Linked DNA regions of Tamandua tetradactyla. Each later gene encodes a partner of the first gene's protein in a complex. Links are inferred from orthologs where the notes say so. Each region holds a gene or a part of one and is shown in the gene's direction. Other genes may lie near its edges. The genes, in order: USH1C, MYO7A, CDHR5 and CDHR2.

Evidence for each region.
Region 2: the proteins of USH1C (region 1) and MYO7A are in contact, whole or in part, in a crystal structure (PDB 5MV9), measured with the Homo sapiens proteins. The link is inferred for Tamandua tetradactyla from reciprocal best matches to the Homo sapiens genes USH1C and MYO7A. Residues at the interface, in NP_001284693.1 of Homo sapiens: Glu450, Pro456, Ile457, Val461, Val462, Ser463, Tyr466, Glu467, Lys479, Gly480, Pro522, Tyr526, Asp527, Asp528, Glu529, Leu530, Thr531, Phe532, Phe533; in NP_000251.3 of Homo sapiens: Phe1946, Val1953, Ala1976, Lys1995, Lys1996, Trp1998, Gln2017, Pro2020, Lys2021, Arg2024, Tyr2026, Ser2112, Ala2113, Phe2114, Phe2115, Glu2116, Val2117, Lys2118, Ile2128, Ser2161, Gly2163, Asn2164, Thr2165, Tyr2166, His2168, Leu2181, Glu2183, Thr2184, Ser2185, Leu2186.
Region 3: USH1C (region 1) and CDHR5 share a complex: the UniProt entries of both Homo sapiens proteins name them as parts of the IMAC/intermicrovillar adhesion complex. The link is inferred for Tamandua tetradactyla from reciprocal best matches to the Homo sapiens genes USH1C and CDHR5.
Region 4: USH1C (region 1) and CDHR2 share a complex: the UniProt entries of both Homo sapiens proteins name them as parts of the IMAC/intermicrovillar adhesion complex. The link is inferred for Tamandua tetradactyla from reciprocal best matches to the Homo sapiens genes USH1C and CDHR2.

The regions. Positions count from the first base shown.
Region 1 is NC_135334.1:93,048,049-93,055,120, reverse strand, and holds the start of USH1C (harmonin), read left to right. Parts: upstream 1-4,065; 5' UTR 4,066-5,131; coding exon 5,132-5,200; intron 5,201-5,602; coding exon 5,603-5,670; intron 5,671-7,007; coding exon 7,008-7,072. UniProt on the Homo sapiens protein: Anchoring/scaffolding protein that is a part of the functional network formed by USH1C, USH1G, CDH23 and MYO7A that mediates mechanotransduction in cochlear hair cells. Required for normal development and maintenance of cochlear hair cell bundles.
Region 2 is NC_135334.1:67,926,740-67,933,643, reverse strand, and holds the start of MYO7A (unconventional myosin-VIIa), read left to right. Parts: upstream 1-3,903; 5' UTR 3,904-4,213; intron 4,214-6,904. UniProt on the Homo sapiens protein: Myosins are actin-based motor molecules with ATPase activity. Unconventional myosins serve in intracellular movements. Their highly divergent tails bind to membranous compartments, which are then moved relative to actin filaments.
Region 3 is NC_135335.1:485,094-491,985, reverse strand, and holds the start of CDHR5 (cadherin-related family member 5), read left to right. Parts: upstream 1-3,884; coding exon 3,885-3,957; intron 3,958-4,193; coding exon 4,194-4,369; intron 4,370-4,452; coding exon 4,453-4,503; intron 4,504-4,913; coding exon 4,914-5,006; intron 5,007-5,106; coding exon 5,107-5,208; intron 5,209-5,342; coding exon 5,343-5,453; intron 5,454-5,534; coding exon 5,535-5,705; intron 5,706-5,915; coding exon 5,916-6,006; intron 6,007-6,086; coding exon 6,087-6,184; intron 6,185-6,255; coding exon 6,256-6,456; intron 6,457-6,555; coding exon 6,556-6,669; intron 6,670-6,739; coding exon 6,740-6,836; intron 6,837-6,892. UniProt on the Homo sapiens protein: Intermicrovillar adhesion molecule that forms, via its extracellular domain, calcium-dependent heterophilic complexes with CDHR2 on adjacent microvilli. Thereby, controls the packing of microvilli at the apical membrane of epithelial cells.
Region 4 is NC_135346.1:58,007,352-58,014,831, forward strand, and holds the start of CDHR2 (cadherin-related family member 2), read left to right. Parts: upstream 1-4,465; 5' UTR 4,466-4,730; coding exon 4,731-4,832; exon of another isoform or gene 4,833-4,886; intron 4,887-4,924; exon of another isoform or gene 4,925-5,459; intron 5,460-7,480. UniProt on the Homo sapiens protein: Intermicrovillar adhesion molecule that forms, via its extracellular domain, calcium-dependent heterophilic complexes with CDHR5 on adjacent microvilli. Thereby, controls the packing of microvilli at the apical membrane of epithelial cells.

The DNA.
Region 1 (7,072 bases):
GAAGTGACCACAGAGCTTGTGGGTCCCCTGGCCACAGAGGGAACAGAATGCTGGTGTGGGCTCAGAGAACAACATGCCCGGCTCTGCGGCCATGTCTAAGGAAAGACTTGACCTGGACGAGGTGGGGTCGGAGGTGAGTCTTCGAGGCAGGGATTCCACAGAGAGGGGATGCTACCGTTATTGCCACTGCCGGTAGCCAAGGTTTCACATCAGCCAGGGTTGGGACAGGAAGGAAGCGACTCATCAGGAGAGAGTTACACGAGGGTGAACATGCACAGAGAAGGGCAGGGATGTATGAACCAAAAAAGGATGACAACACACCCAGGGACAGGCAGCAGCAGGAAGCTGCGTTCTGAAGGGGCGGAGGGAGGAGGGGTTACCAGAACTGAGGATTAGGCTATAGGGGGAGAATGGAAGATGCCCAGACACGAGCTCCAGCTTTCGGTGGAGAAACCTGCCATGGTGTGGTCCAGCAGAGGGGGAGCTGGGGTGAAAGTCCCCCAATCCTTTCTCAGCTTTTGCTTGTGGTCCTCCCTGGCTGAATGCAGGAGGAAGCCAGAAGGTACAGGTGAAGCATCCTGGAACATAGCGCACTGGGGAGAAGGCTGGAGAGAGGTCCAAGAGCACAAAGGATGAAGGTCCAGCATGCACTGTGGAGCCCTTGAAATGTCCTGGGCAGTGTCTTAAGTGCTTTCCATATATTAACTCATTTAATCATCACAACAGCCCGAGGAGGGGAGACATTCATCTAGTGGAACGACATGCATTATTTAAATCACTCTTGCTCTCTTTCCCCTTCCTTTGGCTGGGTGCACAGATGGAGTTGAATTTGTGTTAACTGTGTGGTTAAATGCATGAGTTAAGTGTGTGGTTCCGCTGGGTGGCTGTCCTGAAGGGCAGGGTATGCAGGGAGATGAGGCTACAGAGGGCCCCAAGGCCAAACCCAGAATTTGCCTCTGATGCGCAGACAAGGGTCACAAGCCATGTGAGGATGGAGGTGTGAGACACAGTCCTCCCTCCCTCTGCCTCCACCCCTCCCCCACCCCCAGTACAGGCTGATAGCACAGAGTCAGTTGACCATCAATAGGGAAAGCCATGCTGGACTGAGGGCATCCAATACAAGCTGGACGGGAATTGGAGGTGGGTGGGGATATGACAAAGAGACCCCCAACAACTAGGTATAGACCGTGTAGGCTTTTTGTACCCAGTATCAAGGCGGATCCAAGAAAAGGAAAATCTTTCTAAGTCTAGTTGGAGAAAGAAGACAGGGTGTCATTCACACAGTGTGTGCTCAAGAAACGTATATTGGACAAGTGCATACAAGACAATTATATATGGTAAGCGGATACCATGCAGTGGCTTGGGAAGAGAAAGGGTTTTGGAGCCGGGAGGCATAGGTCAGACAGTCTCTTTTCTGAGACTCTATTTCTTCTTCTATCAAATGGAGATCATAATATCCACCTCAGAGGGTTCATTGGGAAATTAAAGATAACATGTATAAAGTTCCCCAGACAGACGTGGTGTACCTAAGTGCAGTCTGATCAGAATGAGTTGGGCCAGGCAAAATGAACTTTGGGCCTGAAGGCAGGTGAGCAGGCTCTGGGCTGGGCATGGTCAGGAGAGACTTTAGAAGGGGGAACCTTAAATGAGGGCAGTGTTCAGATGGGCGGAGGGAGGAGAGTCTATCATGTGTGGATCTGGGACTGATTGGAGACATCCAGGAGGCCACAACCAATGTGTGCTGAAGAGTGATGGAAAGGTAGTGACCCAGGAATGACCAAGAGATGGGTGGAAGGCTCTAGCCTAGAGCAATTGGAGTTCATCATCACTCAGCAGACACCACTGAGAACTGTGAACCTCTGTGCAAAGGGAAGCCAAGATCAAGGACAAGTGCAGGGAGGAATGAATTTTGAATCCCTGCTGTGTGCCAGGTGCTTTTCATGGAAGCTGAGTGCAAAGTGTTGGGAAAATGGATCAAAGCGCCCTAGAGCTGAGTCAGGCAAACCCTCTTGGGGAGTTTGTGAGAATCCAGATGCCAAGAGGAAGGGATACAGTATAATTTTTTTTAATATTTAAAAAGTGAAGTTTGAATCATGGTGGCGATGTTACTGCAAGTTCAAGCTTCCAGAAAAACTTCCATCCTTCTCAGGTTTAGCAATGCAGTGAATGTGGTGTGTGTTTTCTCTCAGCTATGGGAAGAGAAGTAAACAGTGAATTATTTCTGAGTCTCTTTGGAGACATTTCTGTGGTAGCGGGGGGAGGGAGGGAATGATCAGAATCACAACCCTGCCTAATTTGATGGATCTCCTATGTAAGAAACATTTTGATAGCTTATCACTTAGATTCATATTTAAGGAGCATTCTACATAAATCAAATATGTTTTCCTAGCTGTTATAATATATAAATATGTATTTTTAATGGATAGGTAGGGATTTGTGTAGGTAGATCGGATGTTTAGTGTGAATATGGGGAAAGGAAAGTTCAGTGTGTCCAGGGAAGGGTCTGTTTGGCTGCAGTCAAAGTTCCATGTGGGATGTGAAGGAGATGACTCTGGAGAAGGATTAGGGTAGGATTGAAGACCGCATCATGAGTGAGCTTAACCAGGGGAGAGTGGGGGGACAACAGGCTGGAGAATTGAACTCTACAGGTTGCCTCAGAAGGACACTGGTAGGATGCAATTTCTAGGTGGGGGCCTCTGGATGGTATGGGCAGCCTTGGAGGGCTTCCCACAAAGGCCAGGAGCCTGAGCCCACAGAAACAGGCTTTTTTCCATCAACACCATCTCCAAGCAATCTGTGCTTGGCCCAGAGATGACAGAAAAACAGAATCCTAGAACCTAAGGTTGGAAATTTCCTTAGTCTTCTACTATCTACCCAGGACAACTCATCACTTCATAAACCTAATGATGCTATGCGTGCATTTCTGCAAAGAGGGATGGAAGAGAACTTCAGTCCTAAGGCATCAGCCAATGAGAGATTCCATCTCCTATCCTTTTTCTAATGTAACTGAACACAACTAGAGTTAGCAAGAAGTTCTTTGGTCAGGAGTATCCTCATTCCAACCAAGGAAAATGGGATTTTCATGCTTCCCTAAGAGAGCAGAACATTTGCTATTCAAAGTGTCATTCAAAAGATATTCTGTATTCTTGCTCAATGTGGACCAAACCAAAAGGATTTTCTTAATAGTGCAGAGGAGAGAAGTGAGGATAACTTTCTGAAAGCAAAGGTTTTCAAATTTTGGCCTAAAGCAGTCTTGGGTGTATTTTTCCCTGAAAGGCTTGAGCCACACACTGTGTGATGCAGCAGAGAAAACATAGATATTTGCTCTGCTTCTTGAAATGGAATATGGAATCTTGGGTCAGTTGACTTACCCACTCTAAGCCTCAGTTTCCTCATTTGCAAAATGGTGTGAGCATACACCTCACAGGGCTGGTGTGATACAGTGAGCAGGATAAAGCTCATGAAAATCTCATAGTGCCACCCCGTGGAGGCTCACAGGGACTCTGCAAACTTTATTTCCCTTTTCCTCCTCTTCCCATGATTCGTTCACTCCCATCCGACTTTTCTGGGCATACCAGGAGGCAGGAAGATGGACAAATTCATTCATTACTTATTTATTGACCACTTACTATATTCTAGGCTCTAAGAAATTAGAATGAAACAGACTCCACCCTCCCATTATAAGAAGAAGACAAACCAATAAACAAACAAACTTTTAAGTACAAATTGTGATTGATGCTATAAAGGAATTGAAAACCCCCAGGGTATGGGAGCTAGTTCTTTTTAGGTAGTTGGGTGGAGAAGAGCTCTTTGGGAAGTTGGCCAGCCATGTAGGGAAAGGGGTAAACAATCCAGGAAGAAGGAACGGTGTATGCCAAGGCCATATGGCAGGAGAGAATTTGGCCTTGGGGAGGAACTGAAAGGAGGCCAAGTAGCTAGGGGAGTGTGGAGGGGGATGAAGTTAAACTTTGGTAAGTCAAGTTTGAATTTGTGTTTTAAGTGGAATGAGAAGCTATTGAACAAGAGAGTGATATGTCACTTGCTAATCCATATTTTTAAAAATCTGTATTTCTCCTAGGGGAGTTCAAAACTTTCTCTGCTTAGATTCCTCCATCATAGCCAAGCTTGGGCAGCCCGGGCTGTCCCTGTGGCTGCCCACCCCTCTCATGTAGGTCCAGCAGAGTGGGTAGAGCATTCCAAGCTGGGTCCTCATGGAGATGGACAGAAGGGCCCATTTTATGGTGTATACAAGAGCCCAGGCTACCACCCAAGATTTAGTACCACCAACTCCAGCAGATGCTTTACTGCCCCATCTTCAAGCTGTTTAGAAGACCCTTGGGTAGTCTGGTGAGGCAGGGAGAGGGTAGGAGTGCCCTTTTTGGAGCAGGTGGGGTGAATTTTTGTAGCAGTTGAAGCCCAAGCATCCTAGGCTGTTTCTCTCTTTGATGAACTGCTCAGTCTGATTTTAGAGTGAAGAGCGCTGCCAGGTGGGAGACATATGCATTCTACGCCCTCTGCTCGTGTCAGAAATCCCAAGGGTTTGGCCCAGTGTGTTCTCTGTGCCCCCAATCCTTCAGAACCCATGAGCTCCCCACAGATAGAGCTAAGGCTACCCTGGCCTTCCTCTGAGGGCCACCCAGATGGACGCTCACAGCTTCGAGGGGCAGCTTCCCCCAGTGAGGGGCTTAGGGCCTAGACTATGCCAATGAGCATGGAGGCTGGGGGAGGAACCCAAGACCCCCCGCCAGCCTCCACTGTGCCCTATTTCTCAGTCTTGGGCTGAAGAGAGTGCCCAAGGGTGCAATGGATTGAGATTCCCACGGAGCTCTCCCAGGGAGGGAATTCAGGTCTCTTGGGCCACCAGCTGCCCCAGAATTGAGGTGCTAATGAAAAGAGCACCTGAACCTGACCTTGGAGTCCCAGCCATTGACGTCAACAAAGTTGAAGTGCTGTAACCTGACTCTCCCCATATGGGGGGATGTGCAGGGGCCCAGGGAGGGGTAAGGAGTGGCCAGGAGGATGACCAGTGGACAGATCCAGGGCCAACCCAGCCGAGTCCAGGACAGGACAGCATTCCCCTGGCATTGGGGTCACAGGGGAGCGCAGTGGTAGGGTGCCTCCTGTGGGTGGGATGTGCTATCTGAGTGAATGGCCTAAATCCTTTCTGAAAGCGTTTGTCCGGCACTACAGCCACTATCAGGTAAGACAAGGGGCTTCTTTCCGACAGGGGAGCTGACACTGGCACTGCCAGTCCTGGACACAGACATGGGAGTGAATGGCAGCATGCCCATGGGGGCACACTGCTGTCACGTGGGAGTTCACATATGTGTAAATGTGTGTGCATCCCTATGTGTGTGTTGGTAATCCTATCTGTGGACGGGGCTTAGCCTGGCTACATCTGGATGTGCAAACTCACCCCTGTGGCCACACTGGGGTGGCCTGCATAGGTCTGAGGTTTTGTAGTTGGAGGGGCAGCCTGGTGCATGACTCCCCTCCTCTCCTCATAACCCCAGCCAAGAGGAGATGCTGGGGAGGTCCCTTCTGGGAGAGCTGGAATGGGGATGCTGAGCCTGGAGCTATAATTCTGCCCTTGGATTTCTAGGTGGATTTTCTGATTGAAAATGATGCAGAGAAGGACTATCTCTATGACGTGCTGCGGATGTACCACCAGTGAGTGTGCTGGGTCCAGCCCCGTGGACCTCCCTGGGTATCTCTGCCTTCAGGACGTCCTGGGAAGGGTTGTTCTGGGACAAGAGGATGTCTTTTCCTCGGCAACTCAGGGAGGCACTGAGCTTCTCAGTGCCCCTGGGAATCAAATGGACATACCATTCAGTCATCTCAGTGAATACATTGCGCTTGACTTTGAGCTTGTCTTGCTCAAACAAGTGTGTCTCCAATCCCTAGTTCAGGTTGTCACAATCTGATTGGAGAGACTGTCAAGCAGCCAGTTAGGTTCAGCAGAGTGTGGTCAGTTCTGAGATGGAACAAAACATGCAAGCCGGCCCCAGCCCCTGCGACAGAGGTCTAAAATCACCCGCTTGCTTTTTGATGCATTCACCATACATTTATGAATGAGCTCTTGTCACTTTCTGGGCACCATGCCGGTTCAGAAATTGGTAAGAAAGCTCTTTCTTTCCTTGAGTCATTTGAGGGGTGTGCTTTAGATGCCACATATGCCAAGACGTCTAATATAAGTTACAATGGAACAACTGCTCAGGAGAGTTAGAAGCCACACGCTGCAGAATTTTCACTTCCAACTGTGGAGGGAAGGACCAGGAAGATTTGAGCTAGGTTTCAAGAAATAAGGATTTTGATAGATGGAATATCAGCAAAGGGCATTCGAGGATGTGGCATCAGCATGAGCAAAGGGGTAGAGGCATGAAAGTCCAGGGTGCAAATGGGAAACGATAAGTGATCAAGGGGAATAGAACTTGGAGTACACAGAGACTGGAGAAGTTCCACCGAGACAGGTCGTGGAAGGTCCTGAACCTGCCAAGGAGAATAGACTTCGTTCTGTTGCTCTCTTTGGGAACCATGGAAGGGTTTGAGAAATGGAGTGACTTACATTTAGAAAAGATTAGATGAGAGTGAGCTAGTCAGTAGGCAACTGGAGATGAGCAGGCAGAGATATCAAGGGTCTGAACAGAGTGAAGAAGTGAGAGATATTGCAAGTGTAGAATTTACAGAACTTAGCATCAGAAGCGGAGGTGAGGGTACGAGAGGGGTGGCAACGTCTCACACAGAGGCTTGCCTTCTGCAGAGATCCTGAGCTTCAGAACTAGGCAGAGCTAAGTTTGAATCCTGGCTCCATTTCATCTGCAAACTGGGTTAACAATCCCTTGTTGCTGCTTTTCCTTGTGCTACATACACGAAAGAACAAAACTCCAAGGACAAACAGAGATTCCCAGACCTAGGCCCAGCAGTGAGGCTCTAGGCTGGAGCTGCACCGTGGCTCCCAGGGATCATAGCCAGGGGCTTGGCTCCACGCGCCCCCCGTGTTTCTGCAGGACCATGGACGTGGTGGTGCTGGTGGGAGACCTGAAGCTGGTCATCAACGAGCCCAGCCGTCTGC
Region 2 (6,904 bases), about 25 Mb from region 1:
GGGAATACTTGCAGGCCAGGGTGACGGTTCTCTGGCCAGGGAGGACTTGGGAGTCACTTTGGACCCTTCTGCCTGCCAGTGCATCAGGGAGCTGAGGTCATTGGAATCCTTCCTTCCTTCAGGCCATCTGTGTGGACTGGCATTGTGCTGAGCTCAGATCTAGGCCTGGGGGATGCAGAGACCCAGACACAGCTTCCGCTCTGGAGCTGTCTGCAGACTGGCAGGGAGGCAGACACAAAGGCTCTGGTCATGACACACGTTGCGCAGGAGATAATCAGTAGATTGGTGAGGGGGTGTTGGGGGCGCCTGGTCTTTCAGGCAAGGGAGGGAGGGCCTAAGCCCTGAGCTGATGGATGAACTGGAGGCAAGTGTGTGCGTTTGTGTGTGTGTGTGTGTGTGTGTGTGTGTGTGTGCGCGCGCACGCTGGGGGAGGGGGTGTGGAAAGAGAAGGATTTGGGGGTGGGTGCTGGTGGATGTGGGGAGACCAGAGCAGGCTGTGGAGGGAGCCCTGGCGGATGCTGGCAGCTTGAGCTAGGAAGTTGGGGGTGTTGGGTGAGGAGAAACGGGATACATTCAGGAAGCAGAGCATATAGGACTCCATGCTAGATTGGGCTGATGGGGAAGGGAGGATGAGGGCAAAATAAGTGAGCCAGGATGACCTCAGTGTGGTACCTTTATGCAGCGGGTGTGAAGAGATGGTAGCTGTTGTCATGATGTTTGGAGACCACCCCCACTCCCCACCTCCTACCACTCTGCCCCCATCCCTGGGATTGTGCTCAGACCTGTATCCTGTGCTTGTCCCTGCAGCTTGCTGGCCATGGCCTTGGGAACAAGCATGTCCCCCTCTTGGTCTCATTTTCCCCATCCGGGCAGGGCTGGCCCCACTTGCCTCACCCAGCTGGCAAAGGTTAGGACATGAGGTGATGGTGGAGGGGTAGGTTCTAAGTAGGACCAGCAGGTGGAAGTCCACTCCAGAGCAACTCCTGTCAGGGGTTTTCAGGGTTGTCTGGTCAGAGAGAACTGGCCCCAGCAGAGGCTGAGCCTCAGGCCAACATGCTCCGCTCTGGCTGCCTGGGGCACCCTGCTCTCTGAGGGACAGTAGCCTCCTGGTCTCCAGCTGCCACTGCTGACTCCTGGGGCCTCGAGCACCCTGCCCCTGGGCTGCAGCTGCTTTGCTCCACTGTGAGGTGGAACCTCATGGCGCCCCCTCCCCACCCTGCCTAAGGAGAATATTATCCTGGCATTTTAAGGATGAGGAATAGAAGGCTCAGAGAGGTTGGGCTTGCCTAAGTCAGACAGCCAGAAATAGGCCAAGCTGACTCCAAAGCTCACGCCTTTCTACCACTATCAAAGCATGGCCAGGCCGGGGGTGGGGTGGGTTGGGGCAAGTTGTCACGTAATGGCCAGTGAAGAGCCAGACCTGTTACCTGACCCCACCTCCATTCCCAGCACCCCACTGCCCACCTGCAGCCCAGGTACAGAGGCTGGGTGCCTTGCCTTGCTCCATGGGATCGCAGTTGGGATGTTGTGCCTGTGACCAGCAGGTGGCGCTGCTGGGCCTCCAACCCCTTTCTGGGCTGCGGCAGGAGGTCCCTTTCTTGCAGACACATCCCCATTACAGAGCCTGGGGGTACTAGAGTGTGTCCCTCTACCTGGCCTAGGGCTGTCCCTGGAGAGGACTGAGTGGGGACAGCTTCCAGGTGTGGTTGTAGGCAAAGGGCGGTAATGAGAAAGTGCTGGGTCTCAGTAAGGAGGCCTCCACGTTACTGTCTTTGCCAGTGCTAATAACAAACGCTAATTGTGTAGTCCCCCCTTCTTTTTTTTTTTAAAAGTTATGTATTTAAAAATTTTTATTGTAATAACACATATGCAACCTAAATGGTCCATTGCAACCACTTTCAATTGTACAATTTTAAAATATTTTTATTAGATTCTATTCCAACGTATGGATGATTTCAATGTGCTTCCTTAATTCACTCTGTTAAGGCATCTGGGTTGGCTTCAGGTTTTAAATAATATTAGAAATGCTGTGTGGAGCAACCAGCTAGAAACAGATTTAAAATATATAAATCTTAAGAAAAATTCATAGAAAGGACCATGTCATAAAGTTTTTATAATTTTTGAATTTCAACTAATGTGGGCTTTTAGAAATGTTGTGTACATTTATTTATTAACCTCTGTATATATGAATACCCATTTCCAAGTGTTCATAATTGTGGGTATGATAATTAAAAGTACAGGCTTCTATTTAATAAGAAAAATAATCCAATACTTCATTACTTCATCAAACTTTGGTTATTTAAATGCTAAGACATGCAAATAATTTTTATGTTTTGTGGTCTGATCATACATTTATTTCATAAACCATATCCATATAGTCTTTGTCAAATTTCCTACTAGCATTTTTTGTTTATTCACGAAGATTTATATGTTTCATTTTATAACCTATTTCAGAAGAATATTAACTCTGGGTCTATGTGGCTCAAACATCTTTTTCATTTTATGTTTTTGGTACAAAATTTTTTTCTCAGAGCTTTAATAGACTTTATTTTAGGGTAGCTTTAGATTTACAGAAAATTATGCAGAATATACAGAGTTCCCATTTCCCCCCGCAACAGTTTCCTCTATTAAAAACATTTTGCATTAGTGTGATACATTTGTTACAATTGATGAACCAATATTGATACATTATTTGTAACTAAAGTCTAGTTGACAGTAAAGTTTACTCTTTCTGCTACACAGTTCTATGGGTTTTGACAAATATAATGTCATGTATCCAGCATTACAATGTCACACAGAACAGTTTCACTGCCCTATAATGTCCTGCATGCCACCTACCCATCCTGGACCACCTCTCTCTGAGCTCCTGAAAACCACTGCTGTTTTTACTATCTCTACAGTTTTTCCTTTTCCAGGATGTCATATAATTGGAATCATACATATGTAACTTTTCCAGACTGGCTTTTTTCCGTTTGTAATATGCATTTAAGATTCTTCCATGTCTTTTTGTAGCTTGATAGCTTTTTTTTTTTCTTAATCGAGGAATACTACTACATTGTATGGTTGTACCACAGTTTGTTTAGCCGTTCATATTGAAGGACATTTTGGTTGCTTCCATCTTGGGGCAATTATGAATAAAGGTGCCATAAATATTCATGTGCGACTTTTATGTGGACATAAGTTTTCAACTCATTCGAGTAAATATCCTCTCTCCCTTCCCTTCCCTTATAAATCACATATTTCCCTTTAATTTGTATGTGTCCCTGTTACATGCAGGGTTGCTCCAAGTCAGCTCCTTTGGCAAAGTCTCCTGGGTGATTACACGACAGCACGTACCCACTCCCAGAACAGGTTGGGGGGTATTATTTGATTTGAGGAGCTTTCGGGATACCCATCTGAGGGCAGTCCTTGGCAAGTGGGTCTGGGGCAGGGATTTAAAGGGAGAGACGCGTGCACAGGGAGGGGGGAGAAGGGGCCAAAATACGGGGTCTTGCTCAGCACCCTACCTTCTGCCATGTCCTGCCTGATCATTTTCCTCTCAGTCTCAAGCAGCCATTTAACAGAAGAGAAAAAACAGGCTCAGAGAAGGACAGAGGCTGAGATGCCAACAAATCAGTGACCATGTCAGGATCAGAATGCGGCTTCCAGCCCAGGTTGAGTGGGAGCAGGTGGTGTTAGTGCATACTTCAGGAGGTCACTGAGGCCAGGACGGTGGCCCCTGGTCCAGGTCACATGCTGGTCAGCACCCAGGTAGAGAGAGCCCCCGTGTCCCTGTTTCCTCGCGGGCCAGCGGGTGCTCACACAGAGCCCTGGACAGCCTCTGGAAGTTCTGGTCCCAGCACAGCCCGCCCCCAAGCTGATGTCATGGGTCCCAGGCCTCGGAGGGCCCCCCTTTGGCTCCGCCTCCTGGGAGAAGGCTCTGGACTGGAGAGGAGAGAGCGGGCAGTGCTGGCAGGACAGCTGCCCTGGACAGGAGAGAAGGGGAGACACTGAAAGGGAGACGGAGATGCAGAGACACATGGAGACCCAGCAAGACAGAGAGACATCCAGTGAGACAGTGAAAAACTGAAAGACCTGGAGAGACATCCAGAGAGAACCTGGGAGCAAGAAAGAAGAAGGGAAGAAGGTGTCTGCAGATTGGCCTGAACTCATGACCCCAGCTTCCTGAGCCCTGCACGCAGGTGGCAGCTGAAAGGGTGCGGCGGGGGCCCAGGTAAGGATGAACTGCCCTCTGCCCTGGGCACTGGGAGTAAGGTTTGCTCAGACCCTGCAGCAGCAGAAAGATGCAGGGGTCCGGCTGCTGCTGGATTCCGTGCCCCGCAGCCATTTGTTCCCAAGCTTCCTGCCGCACTTGGTGGTGGTGTGTGTGTGTGTTGGGGGCGGGGATTGAAAATGTCCTGAGCCTGGAAGGATGGCAGTTAGGACCCTGGAGAAGGAAGAAACAAGGAACATGTAAAACCAGGCACGGCACATAAATACAGATCGGTGTCTCCTGTTGTCAATTTGAAATGCAGTTAACTTATGCACAGTTTAGTTCATATTTTTAGAAAAAAAAAATGTCTTGTAGCTTTTTCCTTCTGTATGGCCCTTAAAATTATACGCCCTCACTGCCCTCCTAACCCTTGCAGCCCTGGCTCTGTCATGAAATCATCGGTTCTGACCCCAGCTGTGGCAGCTCCTGCTGGGGCCGATGCCAGCACCACAGCCGGGCGCTTCAGACACATCTCCCCACGGCAGCTGCCCGCGGGCCCTGCTGCACTCACCTCCCTGCCAGGTGCCCAGGCAGGGGGCAGGCCTCTGGAAGGATTGTGTCCCTGCTGTGTCCCGGAGTTCCAGAGCAGGGGTCAGGGCTCAGGTGTCAGCAGTTCCATAGGCAGAAGATCAAATGCCCCAGAGCCTCTGAATGGGCCCTGGTGAAAAATTGATGCTCCTCTCGGGGGGGGGGGCGGGGGGGGGGGCGGAGGGGCCCCGAGCCAGGGTCCACGGCCATCTGCCTTTGACGGCCACTCTCAGCCCCACAGGACTCTGGTCCTGGTCTGGTGCTGGACGAGGCTGGCGAGGCAGAGATGACTCGGACCCACCCAGACAACATAGCACATCAAAGCAGAGCTAGGATAGAGGGAAATGCAGGATAGAGGGAAATGCAGGGGCTCCTGGCAGCTGTGGGTGATCTGGGAGGGCTTCCAGGGCAGGTTCCATCTGAGCTGAGTCATGAGATATAGATGGTATTCATTGGTCAGAATTCCAGGCAGAGGGGATGGTGTATGCAAAGGCCAGGAGGTATGAAAAGAGCTAGCATATTTCAGGAACGAGGAGTTGCTAAGGATGGCCCAAGGGCAGGGGTGGGGAAGAAAGGAAGCAGTAAGAGGCAAGACAGACAGCAGCAGGGACCAGATCGTGCAGAGCCTTAGAAGGGGCCAGGGCTCTCCGGTTAGCTCATCTGGACAGCCCACACTCCTGGAGTCCAGAACAGGAACAAGGCCTTGCAATTCTTTATGGTTTGGTGCAGTGCCAGGACACATCTAAGACTATGGAGGGCTGATAATTAAAACATATTGGTAGAGTCCCTTGAGGATCTGAAGGGGGAAAATATAATATACAGAACCAGGTAAACTCTCCCATCTGAGAAACCCCGGGTACCCTCCCAGCCAGTGGAAAATAGTCCAAGCTCTAGATTTTGAGGCTTGCTGTTATGAAACTTATTACTGTAGGGGAGAAGCTAAGACTTCTCATGAGGAGGCATAAGAGTTGCTTCCAGGAAGCCTCTTTGTTGCTAGATGTGGCCTTTTTCTCCCTAAACCCAACTCTGCAAGGAAACTTGTTACACTGCCTGCTATGCGGGACAAGCCACTCAGGGGTGAGAGTTTCCCTGACAACGTGGGGCGTGACTCCCGAGGATGAATCTGGCCCTGGCACTGTGGGATCGACAATGCCTTCTTGACCAAAAGGGGGAAGAGAAATGTAATAAAACAACATCAGTGGCCAAGAGAGATCAAATGGAGTTGAGCGGCTATCCTGGAGGCTACTCTTATGCAAGCTTCAGTTCCAGTTAGATAAAACTCAGTTCCATGGTTTGCTAAACCCCACTCAACAGCACTCCTGTTGACTCTTAAGAACACCTAGGGCTCGAACTGAGACTCGGTAAAGGTTTCATGCACTAGGCTTGCCTTCCTGGAACATATAATCCCCAGAGGGGTCCTAGGTCAGATAAATCCTGAAACTCGGAGGGACCAGCCTCTCCAGGATTATCAATTAATTATACCCTCCATCCTTCAGTGTGGACACCCCTTCTCAACATGAAAAATTGAGAACAGACATTCCCCAAAGATCCCTATAGAATGGGAGAAGGATTAGAGGAGAAGGAGGAGGTTAAGAGAGAAAATGAGGTTTAAGAAATGAATATAACTGCTGAATCACTACATTAATATTCCTTCTAGGCTCTAGTGTTTTGGAGCAGCTAGAAGGAAAAATATGAGATGATGAAATGGTAGCTCATGAAAAACACTGGGATCCTTTCTGTAACTACGTGTTGAAGGGTGTTTTGAAAATTACTGCTTTTTACTTTCTTTGTTCTGTATATATGTTATATTTTATAATAAAAAATGTTAAAGTAAAAAAGAGGCTGGGGGTCTTAGGCTCTCCACCCTGAGGGCAGTGGGGACTCTGGAAGGGTTTTAGGCAGGGTGTGCCCTGAGCAGGTCATGCTCAGACCATGAGCTTCCCCCCAAGCCAGGCTGCCCTACTCCTGGGGCAGCTCTGAGCTGGAAGTCTGGAAACCAAGCCTTAGGCCTGAATTTGCTGCACCTTGCTGTGTGACCTTGAACAAGTCTCAGTCCTTCTCTGGGCCCCTTTGCTTACATGTCCAGGTCAGGGGCTGGACTTGCTACTTGCTAGGAGTCTTCTG
Region 3 (6,892 bases), on another chromosome or scaffold:
AGGGCAGCTAGTTTATGATCTAACGGGACATTAAATAATTAGAACAGGCAGACTCACAGAATTATGGACTAGAATATGGGTTATAAGGGGTGGTGTGTGGACAGCGTGGGGGTCCAGGCTGAAAGCGCGTTTCGCGGATGGGCGGTGCTGATGGCAGCCCAGCATTGTGGGTGTAATTAACAGCCCTGAATTATATATTTGAAGGCGGTTAAAAGGGGGACGTTTTAGGTTGTATATGTTGCTAAAACAAAATGTTTAGAGAATCCATGGAGCTGTACAACACAAAGAGCAAACCCTAAGCCAGGGACTAGTTAATGGTCAATTATAAAACTCTCATCAGTTGTAACTAATGTGCCACACCAATGCAAGGTTCCCAGGATTTTATGCATGATTATCCTTTAAACCCTCAATTTCTCTAATAAAAAACATTCATATGGAATGGCAGAAGGGCCTGGAGGTCCTATACACTTTTGAAAAAGAAAAAAAAAAAAGGAGGACTTACACTTCCTAATTTCAATACTTACTACAGAATCACAGTCATTAAAACATACGGTACAGGCGTAAGGACAGACATACAGCCAGGCCGACCGGAGTCCAGCGGCCAGTTGGCTTTCCATAGGGGAGCCAAGTCCTTCCGGGGAGAGAAGAGCCCCTCTAACTGCGCTGGGACACGCGGAATTTCCCTGCCATAGAAGCTGTGTGGACGCGACCTCCCCTCCCCACAGAAAGAACTTTGGTTTCCTGAGTTTACTTGGATTTGTGCTTACGGACCTCACAAGAACCGGTTCTCAGAAGTCTAATCTTAATTAATCCTGCATGGACCCCGCATTTTTCTCGGTGACCCTCACCTTTCCAGCCTTAAATAGGGCTCTGGTCTCTCCCATCTCGGAAAATAAAGATGTAAAACCCGGTGATACCGTTTTAATCCGCCCTCCGTGCAGCTCTCTGGTGCCTGCGTCCAGCCTGCACCCGGCCTCACCCCGTGGCCCCCCCCTCGCTCCCTACGGCCTCCTGCGGCGGCCCCTCCGCAACGTCCGGGCCTTCCTACTCCTTCTCCGTCCAGCCCCGACCCCCTCCCCGCCCCCGGCGCCTCCCACCCCCCACCCACCCCTCCCGGACCCCTTCGTCCCCCTAGCAAGCTGTCCGGCCGCCCCCACCCCTCCTCCAGGCCCGCCCGCTCGCGGGACAGTGGCCGCTGGGCTCGGCGCCCGCCTCCTGAGGGTGCTGGGCGCAGCTGGCGATGCTTTGCACGTGCTGCTCCGTCTTCCTGCGCGAACCGCGCCCAGGAGGCGCCCTCCCCATCCCGAAGCCTCCCTGGTGCCCGCGGGCCGAGGGTCCCGGTTCCCGCCCCCCCTGCACCGCCCTCGCCCCCGGCTCGCCAAGGGGCGCCGACGAGGCCGGGCGACAGCTGGGGGGGCGGCCCTGACCTTCCCGCGCGATCAATGGGGCGCGGCCCGGGCTGCTCGGAGCCAGGGCGGAAGCCCGCGCCCCCCGGCGCCGCCAACCCTCCCGTCCCGCCGCCTTAAAAGGGCCGCGCTGGGCTCCGGCCGCGGCCGCGAGCGCTCAGCACCGCCCCGGCGCGCCGCGCTATGGGGTCCCCGGCCGCCGCCGCGCTCCTGCTGCTGCTGCTGCTGCTGCTGGGCCGCCCAGCCGCGCGCCCCGCACCCCCCAGGTGGGTGCCGCCCCTCGCCCCCGCTCCGTGCCGGTGCCCCGGACCGGGTCCTGACCCCTCCCGCCCCCGCAGGGCCCCGCGCCACTCGGACGGGACGTTCACGAGCGAGCTGAGCCGCCTGCGGGAGGGCGCACGGCTGCAGCGGCTGCTCAGCGGCCTGGTGGGAAAGCGCAGGTGGGGCCGCGGCGCGGGGCGCGTCCGCGAGGGGGCGGCCCCGCGTGGCTGCAGCGGCCCCGAGTTCAGCGGGGCCCCACCCAAGTCCGGAACTAATTCTGATTCTTTCTGGGGGTCGGGGCTGCAGCGTGCCGTACCGGGCCCCGCGCGCCCATCCCGCAGGCCTGGTGAGCTCCTCTCCCGCCTCCCAGGACCCCGCGCCCTGCGGGGCTCACCCCGCACCCCTCGACCTGTCCTCGGTCCCCTGTAGGACCCTTCTGTGGCAGCAACTGGACCTGGCAGTGGACAGGTGGGCTGGGAAGGTAAACACAGTCGGTGCTAGTGAAGCCCGGTTTCCCCAGGGCTGTGTGTAGGGGGTGGGGGGTGGGGTCTGCAGCCTCCCGTCCCCTGCACTGGTTCATCTCTGCAGGACGCCCCTGAGGGACCCCTGGGCCGGGCCTGGCCCTCTTCCAGACCCAGGGCTGGGATCAGGATTTTGGAGCCAGCGACCGGGCAGCTAAAGGAGCCGTGAGGTCCGGATGGCGGAGGCAGGACGTTCTCCCCGGCGGCAGACAGGACGGGCCGGCCGGGCGTCGGGCGGGGCGGGGCCTGTGCTGACCAATCAATAAAGGAAGAATTCGAACCCTGGCTCCGGAGCCCACCCCGCGCGGCGCCTGGGTCCCCGGGGCAGCCCCAGCCCTAGGCAGTGCTGACCCCTCTTCTTCCCGGTTCCTTCTTCCTTCTCGCCAGCATCAGCGCCACCTCCCTCCCCTCCGGGAGCTCCCCTACCGGGAGTCCCCTACGCACCCCCAGCCGTCCACTAGGCAGTGCAGGGGTAGGAGGCTGCGGACGCCCCCTCTCAGGGGCCATGTGAGCAGGAGTGGAAGGAGTGAGGGGCTCGCTGGGGGCTGAGAGGCTGTGGGGCCGAGGGGACCGGCTGGTGGTCCCCGCGCCGGCCTGCTGATGCCTCCCAGCCTGGGCGCCGGGCCGGCCATGATGCCTCCTGGGGACAGGGTCACAAAGCAGCGTCAGGGCCAGGAGCAGGCAGTGACCCCATCAGCAAAGAGAAAACCGAGTGCTGCTGGGTTAGGGAGCAGCTGGTACGAGGCCTGGGGGCGTGAGCTCCATCTCTCCCCTCTTCTTGACAACTCCCCTCCCTGTTTCACCTCATGGTCTCTCCACAGCTGCTGACCTCAGGACTTGGGGAGGGGGGATTTGATGGCCAAGGAGGGACGGCAGCAGGTGGGGGGGAGACCCAGGGTCCCTCCCCAGGAGCTCAGCTGTCCTGTCCCATCGCTCTGTCCCCTGCAGAGCCCACCTAGAAGCAGCTGAGTTGTTTCTGGCACTGGAGGTGTAGGAACTCAGAGCCTTTCCCCCTCAACCTGGGGAGCTGGACTGCCACTGCGACCTCAGGAACTTTGAGAGAGACCTTAGGAGACTAGAGACAAGTAGAGGGCAGGCTGGGGACTGGGGACAGGGGACACACCAAACTCAGAGGACAAAGGCATGGCTGCTGCCCTTGCTCCTGCCCCAGCCCCAGCCCCCGCCCCTGCCCCAGCCCCAGCCCCTGCCCCAGCCCCAGCCCCTGCCCCTGCCCCAGCCCAGGCCCAGCTCCTGCCCCTGCCCCAGTCCCAGCCCAGGCCCAGCTCCTGCCCCTGCCCCAGCCCCTGCCCGAGCCCCTGCCCCTGCCCCAGCCCCTGCCCCAGCCCCTGCCCCAGCCCCAGCCCCTGCTCCTGCTCCAGCCCCAGCCCCTGCCGAGCCCCCGCCCCCGCCCCCGTCCCCGCCCAGGCCCAGCTCCTGCGAGCAGGTGTGGATCCCCTTTCCCCCACTCTGTGTCCCGGCGTCTGTGCACTGTCTTCTCCCCGGAGGCCCCCGCCCCCCCTGCCCGGCACGAGGCCCCACTGGAACTGGCTGGCGGAACCGCCTTGGCGGAGACTGGAAGTAAAGGGCCATAAACCGGGGCGGCGCCTGGCAGGGGCGAAGGTCGCCGAGGCTGCGCCAGCTCAGGCCGCCCAGGGTTGGCGCCAGGCACCACCGGGACCCTCCTGCGGGGCGCGCCATGGGCGCTGGGGTCCTGCTGCTGCCGCTGCTGGCGGGGCTGCTGGGCGGAGCCCCTGGCGTCGGGGCCCAGGGTACGGCGGGGTCCCGGGTGGCCCGGAGCGGGGGTCCGAAGAGGCCGGGCGCGGGGTGCGAGGCGCGGGGTTCCAGGGTCCGAGGTAGCGGCGCGTGGGGGTCGGGCGTCCCGGGCGGCGGGGCGCGGGGTTCCGGGGTCGGGGGCGGGGAGGCGCGGGGTCCGGGGTCTGCGGCGGCAGGGCGCGGGGGTCCGGGCACCCAGCCAGAGCACCCACCCTGCACTCCCATCGCGCAGCCTGCTCGGTGAATCAGACGTTCTTCGAAATCGAGGAGAACAGGAATTGGACGGAGCCCCTGGTGGACATCTCCGTCCCCCCGGACCAACAGGTGACCCTGGGGCCCTCTTCCACCCCGGGCGCATTTCAGATCATGGAGGACCGGCTGTTTCTCACCGTGACCCTGGATTACGAGGTGCCGGTCCAGGCAGGGCAGGGCGAGCCCCTGGGGGGCCTCCATGGAGTGCCCGCGGGTGACCCCCGCCCTCTGGCCCGCAGACGCAGCCGCTGCTGCAGGCGCACCTGGAGTGCAAGAGGGGGGGCGCCGTGGTAAGTGCCGCCGGGCTGGGCTGGGGTCGCCCCGCGGTGGGGAGCGGCCCCCAGCCCCGCCCCGCCCCCCATCCCCCGCCCCGACCTCCCTGGAGCCCACTGCCCCCGCATGGCCTTCAGGACCCGCCTGTCCCGACGCCCGGCCCCGCCCCCCCGCCTCCGCGGGCCCCTCTGCTCGTCACCCTCTTCCTGGACCTGCGCCCCCCCTCCTCGGGGGCTTTGACGAGGCCCCCCGCAGCCCCTGACCCTGCTTTAGTTATTTTTTAACCTTTTCTTGGGATCATTTCAAAGGTAGGAAGTTGAGCGGAGGTAGGAGCCCGGCTCCGCCCTCCCGCCTCCCCAGGTCCCCCGCGAGCTGCGCCCCCCACGGCCCGCTCCCGGGCACCTGCCCACACCGCGCCCGCCCGCAGGTGACGCAGCTGCGCGTGTTCGTGTCGGTGCTGGACGTCAACGACAACGCGCCGGTCTTCCCCTTCCCCAACACGAGCGCGAACGTCAGCGAGGTGAGCGGGGCGGGGGTAGAGGGCGCGGGGCCGGGCGGGGCGCAGGGCGGGCGGCCGGGTCGTGCGCGCATGGCGCGGGAACGCGGCCCTTTCTCGCCAGGACGCGAAAGTGGGCTCCATTGTCATCCCGGAGACAGACCTGGAGGCCAAGGACCCTGACAAAGACGACATCTTGTTCTACACCCTCCAGGAAGAGACCCTGGTCCGTGCTGCCCACCCCCCCTCCGGCCCCCCCACTCCCCCCCACCTCTTGACTCCCCCCCACCCCCACCGACTCCCCCACAAGCTGCTCTGCCTCCTCCCAGAGTCTCAGGCTGCGCCCCCCCCCCCCCGCAGGGTGCCAGTCACTTCTTCTCCCTGGTGGGTGCCAACCGCCCCGCCCTGAGGCTGGACCAGCCACTGGACTTCGACAGGTGGCCGGCCATGACGTTCCGGCTGCTGGTGCGGGTGAGCAGCCCCCCACCTCCCGTGCCCCCACTGAGCCCCAGCCCCAGGCACCCGGCCTGAGCTGCGGGGACGCTGTTACAGGACACCCCGGAGGAGGGCGCCCTGCCCGGCCACACCGCTATGGCCACGCTGACCCTGAAGGTCCTGCCTGCCGACCTGAGGCCCCCCTGGTTCCTGCCCTGCGTCTATGCGGATGCCCACGTCTGCCTGCAGGCCCAGTACCAGGGCGCCGTGCCCACAGGGCAGCAGCTGGTACAGCGGGCAGCGCTGGCCGGGTGTGCACAGTGGCTCCCGTCAGCGGGCCAGGGTCAGGGCTGCGACCATCTCCATGGTGGTCATTTTAAAACAAATATACAGGGCCCTTCGTGAGGCGTCTCCCCAGCCAGGCAGTGGCAGGGGGTTGGGGAGCGGCATGGGGGGGTCACCAGCTCAGCCCCCACCATCGCTCTGTGGCCCCTGCAGCCCGACCCTCTCACCCTGCGTCCGGGACCCATCTACGCGGTGGACGGGGACCGGGGCCTCAACCAGCCCATCGTCTACAGCATTGTGGACGGTGAGTGGCCCCCACCTCGGCAGAGGGCACCCCGGCCTACCTGCCAGGGTCCGGCTGAGCCCGCACCCCCCACCCCCCAGAAAACAGCGATGGGATATTCACCATCAACAGGACGTCGGGGAACCTCACCATGGCCAGGGGCGCCCCCAGACCCATGACCTTTCACCTACTAGTCAAGGTGCGGTGGTGCGGGCGGGGCGGGGGCTCCCGGTGTCCCTCCTGCACTGACCCCCGCACTGCTGTCCCCAGGGCGAGCAGGCCGATGGCGCCCGCTACTCTGTGACACAGGTCACCGTGGAGGCCCACGCCACCGCTGGGAGCCCACCCTACTTCCCCCACGGCCTGTACCGCGGCCGCGTGGCGCTCGGCGCCGCAACTGGCGAGATGGTCAGGGACGCCAGCGACCCGGCCCGGCCCCTGGCGGTCCAGGCCCAGGACCCAGACTTCCCGGTAGGTAGCCCAGCTGCGGGGGCGCCCGGCCCAAAGCCCCCACTTGCCTGTCCGGCCGCGTGGGCGTTGGGGTTCCAGGAGTCACGAGCCTGTTTCCAGGGCATCAACTCGGCCATCGTGTACAGAGTGACCAACAGCTCAGAGTTCAGGATGCAGGGGGAGCTGGTGCTGACCGCGGCCCCGCTGGCGGCGGCCGGCCACCTCTACGCCCAGGTGAGGTGCGGGTGGGCGGACAGGGGGGCCCGGTGGGAACTGAGAAGAGACCAACCCCCTTCTGCCGCAGGTTGAGGCCAGGAACACGGTGACTTTGGGCACAGCGACCACCGTCATTGAGGTTCAGGTGTGGGAACCAGAGACTGCCCCCACAGGCAGGCCCCCAGGTGAGCCCCCACCCCCAGGAGGCTTTCAGGTGAGCCCCCCGAGTCCCCTCTCCCCA
Region 4 (7,480 bases), on another chromosome or scaffold:
TGTTTAACTTCCCCCTGTTTTTCTGATGTGGAAGCTAAGGCTCAGAGAGGGAGAGTGGCTTGCCCCAGGTCACACAGCCAGGAAGACTGAAGTGAGCCTAGGTCTACCTGGCTGCAAACCCTGCCTGTGTGTTGGAGTGGGAGGGCTGAGAAGGGGTACTTAAAGGAATCCCTAGGGAAGGGTTTGGAAGAGGGAGGTTCTGACCAGCTATCCCAGAACAGAGAGGAAATGGAGGCTGGTGCTCCCAGAGAGGACAGGCACAGGTGGAAGTGACCGGTCAGCTCTCAATTCAATAAAACATATTCCATGGAATGGAGGTTATGGTAGATGATCTCCCCATCACTGGAAGTGTGCAAATCATGGCAGGACAGGTATTGGGATGGGGTGGTTTTTAGAGGGAATTCGTGCCTTGAAGGCAGATTCAGGGGTCTCGGGGTGTGGGGAGGAGTTGGTATCACGAGTCCCAAGTTCTCTAAAGGGCAGAAGGCTCTGAGTCTCTCCAACTCAGGGGCTGTTCATCGTCTGGTCCCTTGGTTGTAAAACAGAGTGATGAAAGGACTTTGCACCCTGCAAAGCCCTGGCAATGTGAAGGGATGACTGGGAAGATAAGGAGGGATTGAATGCACTCACAGCAAAGAGCCCAGACACCCCAGTTTACTTCTGACACAGTATATTATGGCGGGGTGGAGGTTGGGGGGTCTCCATGCTGCAGATGAAGAAATGGGGGCTCAGAGAAGGAGTGACTCACCCCCCGGGTCATACAGCTAGTCAGGACAAGCTGATTTCATTTTGATCAGTTTCTGAACACACAGAATGACAGTCAATGAAGGGTTTTCCAGATCAAACATTTAAAAATACACACAGCTAAGAAAGTGGCTGCAAAGGAACCCTGATGAGTATCTGAATTGCTGCCTCATGTCTGCGGACGGATGCGTTGCTCTGTAATGTGTCCTGTGCTAAGTGCTTTACACTATCTAATTAGTCTGGACAACAAACATATATGAGTCAGGTTCTGCCATTCTGTCCATTTTACAGATGAGGACACTGAGGCTCAGGGAGAGGAAGTACCACTCCCAAGGCTGCTAAGTGGTGGGGAAGGGATTAGGACCCAGATTGCCTGAATTCACATTCTGGACTCTTAGCCCCATTTTCTGTCTGGTGGTCCACTCCCTTGAAGATGACTTTGGGCCCGGACCTGTTACTCTGACCTGAGTCATTTCAGCCCAGAGCCCAGCAAGCTTCGCAGGCTGCCCTGGGCCAGGTGGGCAGGCACCCCTTGACATGGGCAGGGCCACACCTGGCCACACCTGGCCCATCCAGGTGCTGTCCAAAGGTCTGGGCAGGCCAGGAGCAGTGGCTCAGCGCTGTTGGCCCCGAGGTTTGGGGTCTGTCCTACCCTGAGGCTGGGCAGCTGGGGTAGAGCAGGAGCCTGGAGCCTGGGGTGGGGTCATCTTCTCTTTCTACCAGTTAGTCACCAACAATAACTAGCACCTGCTTCCTCCAGAGAGGAGTCTGGCGGCTGGGGTAGGGAAGCCCGAGGCAAGAACAGCGGCACAGCCAAGGGCTCATATCCTGGTTCTGTCTCTTGCAGAGAGTCTCGCCTTTAGGTGGTGATCTAAGCTGTCTGGTCCTCTATTTTCCCATCTGTAATCATCCCTAGGGTTGTTGGGAGCATTAAATGAGATCCTATTAGTGCTAATAACACAGCCACCACCACTACCCCCACAAATAGTAGCATTCACAGACACCCTTGTGTTTGGCATTGTACTAAGGACTAAAAATGCCTGACTTCTCTGAAGTAGGTGCCATATGTTACTCTACCTGCAATTTATAAACAAGGAAACTGAGTCTTAGAGGGGTTATGTAACTTGTTCAGCCACAAATGAATCTAGCCCTCTGACTCCTGAGCCTGATCTTTTCACCACTATATTTTATTATTAGTGTCAAGTGTTGTCCATCCTCCCCCAGCATCCTCTCCTTGGAGACACACAGGAGGAAACACTTCTCATGTATCAGGATTTGGAATTGCACCCTACCTCCCAGAGCCTGGCTATAGATGTATATATGTTTTTAAATGTGTGGATGTGGGCGTTAATGGATCCGATTTCCCTCTTTGCCACGCCTACTGGGAAGCTCCAACCCAAATCATGGGCCACCTCTGGCACCTACCCAGAACTTAAAGGCAGATGTTTTATAGACTAATTGAGGCTTACGTGTCCCTTATTTATCTCACTTACTTTTGCTTTTTTTAGTTTCCTCGCCTTTTTAAAGCATGTGGTAGCATATATATTTTGATCATTTGTTTCAAATTTGAGGGGTTGAGGAACAAACACCCTGGCATGTAGTAACTCCCTGACATATAACTCTCAAATGTGAGTCAATGGACACTTGCCCTAAGAAAGCTATGGATTGCATACTCTGGGAGCCCAGACAGGTGGCAGGGATCTGTGCTGTGTGCCAGGCCCCATGCCAAGAGCCATATGTCAATTGTTTGATTTTATCTTCACCAACCACTTCATGAAGTAGGCAGTATTATTTTTTTTTATCTGAGTTAGGGATGGGGATGTCTGATATGTTACAGTGAAGAGTAGGTGCTCACTCAAAAGGTTTAGTAGCTGGGAAATAACCAAGTCAAGTTCAAACTTTGTCCTTTCCCAATGTAACCCCCCTGTGCCCCTTCCTTAGCACCTGGGTGGGGCGATATAGGGACTGGGGACTTCCATCCTCAAGGGAATGGTGGTCAAGCAGAAACCACTTCAATCAGATCTAGAAGAAAATAGAATGTATTGGTTTAGTAACTGAAGAGCTTGAGGGTCGATAGCTTCAGGCATGGCTGCATCCAGGGGTCGCACAAAGTCAGGAGAAACCAGTGACTCTCCATTTCTTAGCTCTGCTTCACGCAGTCTTTGACTATTTCTCAATCAGACTTTACCCTCCTGGTGGTAGGAAAGTCATTAGAATCCCCAGAGTCATTTTCTTACAACTTAGAAATTCCAGGGTGGAGGGCAGGGGAGGTTGGTCTCATTCTCAACTGTTTCAACCAAAGTCCTTTCTTGGAGTTCCATTAATTCTTTTTGTTTTGGGGGTGGGTGAAATTCACATAACATACAATGAACTATTTCAAAAGTCTACAATTCATTGGTATTTCATATACTGACAATGTTGCACAACTAGAAGGGCTCTCCAGTTTCAAAATTTTTTTGCCTCCCCATTAAAACACCTCTAAGGAATCACTTTGGGGGGGAGGGGTTATCATTTTCTAAAGACTTTTTATTATAAACTATAACATATATACAAAGAAAAGAAAGAGTTTTCAAAGTACATTTTTAACAAGTAGTTACAGAACAGATTCCAAAGTTTGTTATGGGTTACCATTCCACTAGTTCACATTTTTGCCTTCTGGCTGCTCCAAAACACTGGAGGCTAGAAGAAATATCGATATAGTGATTCAGCAGTCATGCTCATTTGTTAGACCCTATTTTCTCTGTTATAACGCCTCCTCTTTTGATCCTTCTCCCCATCTATAGGGATTTGGGGGCACTTCCTGTTCTTTGTGCGGATGAGACCCACCATAGGTTCTTATTGGCCCAGCCTTGCATCGGGTGCCCAAACCTGGCCAATCACAGTGACCAAAGGGATGCTGTGCTCTGACTGGCTGGACATGGGTCACATGACCGCCAGAGGTGGGGTGGAGAAAGGAGGGGTGGGGAGGCCCCCCAGAGGAAAACTTGGGTGCTGTTATCAGGGGGAGTGAGAATTGGTGCTGGCAGGCAGAGCATTAGGTGCTCCCTGCTAGGGAGTAGGGAAAACCTTCTGGGGGAGGGGGAGGCCTCCAGCCAGGGCAGCAATGAGGGGGGCCCTGGGAAGGTGAGGAGAGGCTGGGTAAGGGGTGGGGTTCCTCCGCCTCCCCTTTCCACGTGGCGGGTCCCTGGAGCTGGCGCAGCCATTTGTCCATCAGGGATAATTATAAGGGTACCTGCCTCTCCCTGGTGATAAGGGGAGTCAGTGAGAGCGTGATGTAAAGCACACCAAAGGTGCTCAATAAATGCAGACTCCCACTGCTGGAACACACAAGGACATCTCCCCCCAGGGCTTCCCTGGAGCTTGGGGGGTGGGAGGATGAAGTCAAAGTGTATTTGCAGCTCTTGGTCTGTTTTGGGACACCTGGGGCGCACTGAGCACCCGTCCTGGGCTGACTACCCCCAGTCCACCCGCACAGGTAGTGGTGGGGGAACCAGCACCTCAGGATCCAAACAGGAGGGTTTCAAAGGGAGAGGGGCAGTAACCTCTCTAAGCCATCCAGCCAGAAAGGGGCAGAAGGCTCGGGCTTCTGAGCTTGTCCCTAGGGCCCCCTCTGTCCTTTGTCAACCCAGGGGTCCTTGGGCCACTGTGGCAGGAGTAGAAGGAATTGGGGGCCTGGTACCTCAGGGAGGGTAGATACCCTGAGAAGACCTCAAGTCAAAGAGGGTGGATAATGACAGCTGTCGCAGCATTCACTGAGCCAGGCGTTAACATGCTTGATTGCTTCCCCATGCATCACGTGTCACTGAGGACTCTTGTGATTGAGAGGGGACTACGGGACCTGACTGTCACACTCGGACCATCCTCCTCCCAACTTCCTGCCTGACCCGGGGTTGGGCCTCAGTCCCGCCTCTAGCCCCCTCCTCAATTGGGTCGGGTCTCCTGAGGCATCAGCCCCACTCCAGGAGGTGCGGTCCCCGGCAGGGTTAATGATTGCCCAGGGAGGCGGGTATAGTGCCAAAGTCTGCCAGCTGAGCACCTGTGCCTGCCAGTGCCCACCTGCCGCCTCTGCGGCCCCTTCCGGGGCACAGGTAGGATCTCCGCAGCTCGACTGGGGCACGGTGGGGTCTCCTGGTCAGGGGGAGGTAGGCTGGGGCCAGTGGGGACCAACGTGAGCTTTGGGTGTCTTTCAGTGTCCCCTGGCAGCTGGGTGGGAGCCCCGGCCAGAGGGAGCCATTGCCCACCTAGGGTCTCAGGTTCTGCAAGGTGGGGTTAATGATACCTCCTTCCCAGGGTTCTGATGGCGCCCTTTCCTTCCAACTGCTTGGGTCACTGGACTCATGGAGGGTCCCGGATGAAGGGAAGTGGGGTTACCCCAAGGTCCCTTCTGGAGGAAGCTCCAGGCCAGGACTAAACTCTGGAATCACACCCACTGGGCTCAGGCCCCTTCCTGGGCCTGGCGCATCGCCTCACTATGGCGTCTGAGACAGAGACTCAGCTGACAGCCGGGGCCAGGCCTAGGCCACCTCCCTGAAGCAGGAACTTGAGGGATAGGGGCACCAAGTACAAAGCAGAGACTCAATCGACATTAAGGTCCAGCTGATTGAAACAGGCCGTGGCCGGTATGTGGACTTTGTGGTCCTTGTCATCGTCCCCTTCTCAGCAAGGGAAACTGAGGCACAGAGAGGAGAAAGGGCTTGCCTGGGGTTGCACGGCAGGTAAGTGAAAAGCTGGACTCTGAACCCAGGGCCATTTGACTCTTTGTGTGCTGGATGCAGCAGCCTGGGGGATGGGCACTGTAGGGGACCACAGTGGCAGGAAACCCAGCTCCCTCCCGGGTCCCCCATCCCTGCCACAGGCCACACTGGCTGGGTTTGTGCCTGGCTTGCCCAGAGACTCCTGGCTTTGGAGACAGGCTGGATTGAACACCTCTGTCCCTTGCTCTTAGGCTACCGTTTCTGACTTTCTTTGTGCCCCAGTTTCCTCACTGGAAACCCAGAAATATAATTCCTACCTGGGCAACAGTTTTGGGAAATCAGTGAGAAAATGGAAGTGAAAGTGTGCAAGGAGGAGGCACATCCCTCTCTGCCCTCCCGGAGGCTCTGGGCAGGCCTGGTGGGGGGGGGGGGGGGGGCGTCTCATTCCCAGAGATTCCAGATTGTAATAGGAGGTCTTAGAGCCACACAGTATTTAGACTGTGGTTGACATCACCTCTCAGCTGAGACTGAGGCACCAGCACTTCCCTGGGCAGGCAGGGCTGCACCTTGGGCCCCGTGGTCAGGGTGTGTCTGCCCCTTCCAAGCCAGATACGGTTCCCAGGAGTCTGAATGCCTCAGGCAGACAGGGTGGGCAACGGGTGGGCGCCCAGAAGCCACCCTGATTTCACCCCTGTGTTCATTTCGGAAGCTACTCTTTGAAAGCGGGGAGTGGGGTGGGAATTGGGGATAGGAAACTGTCATCTCTAGAACGTAGATTGTCCCCATGTTTTAGAGGGGCAGACCGAGAGGCAGAGTGGTGGGCAGTGACTGGGGGCTGGAATTGATGTGCCTGTCACTTCAGTCCCAGACCTTGGCCTGAGGAGGAGAAAGGGGTCCCTCAGAGCTCCCTGGGGGGTGGCAGAGACCTGGGAAAGGGGCTTCCATGGCTTTGTCAAGACCTTTCCCCAGGACCAGTCCATGGTGAATTCCATTCACTGATTTTTCGTTCCTAGTTACTCTGTCCTTAAGCCTGCTGGGGAAGGGAGGTGGGGATGAACAAGGCAGGTCTAGCACTGCGCCTTGCTGGGTTGAACCTTACAGGATGGAAAGAATTTGCACACATGTGGGAGGCAAGGGAAGGCGTTCTGGGCAGAGGAACGGAACACGCAAATGCAAGGAGGGAGGAAAGTGTGGGGTGTGGATGAGCACAGGAGCTTTAGACGCCACTGGGCCACAGTGGGGAAAGGAGAGAAGCTTGGGAAAGAGAGGCCAGGGTCCGTGAGACTCTTGCTGGCCAGGCTGAGAGCAGTAGTGTGTCCTGTTGCCAGTGGGAGCTATGGGAAGGTTTGAGCTTTGGGGATGACTCGGTCCAATGAGGTTAGAAGGCTCATTGGGCTAGTTCGTCCTTATACCTCCCCCAGCCCACGTGGGCGCTGTACGTTTTTTCTCAAGTGACTGAACACAAGGGATGACGCTTCTGGACTGTAGAACTTTGGCCTCATTATGATTAAATGAGCATGTTTGGGAAAAGGCTCTCTGACAAAGAGGAGGCAAGATAGCCTGGAATCCAGGTGGTATGGGAAAGAGGCAGGAATGCCGCAAGAGAAAACCCTGGGCTGGGAGTCAGAAGGGATGGGGTATTAGTCCCCTGATTTGCTGTAACAAACTGGCCCTAGCACAGACTGGTGACTTAAAACAACATAGGTTTCTGCTCTCCTGGTTCTAGAAGCTAGAAGCCCTGGAATCAAGGTGTCGGCAGTACTGTGCTCTCCGAGGTTTCTGAGGAAAAATCTTTCTCTGGCTCTTCCAGCCCCTGGTGGGTCCTGACATTCCTTGGTTCATGGCAGCTTCACTCCAACCTGCCTCTGTCATCACATAGCTGTCTTCTCTTCATGTGTCTGTCTGTGTCTCCTCTCCTCTTCTTATAAGGACACTAGTCATATTGGATTAGGGGCTTACCCTACTCCATTGTGATTTCGTATTAATTAATTCAGCCCAGAGCACGAGGTCTTCCAGTTCCATCTCTGACTGGTTTGGTGGCA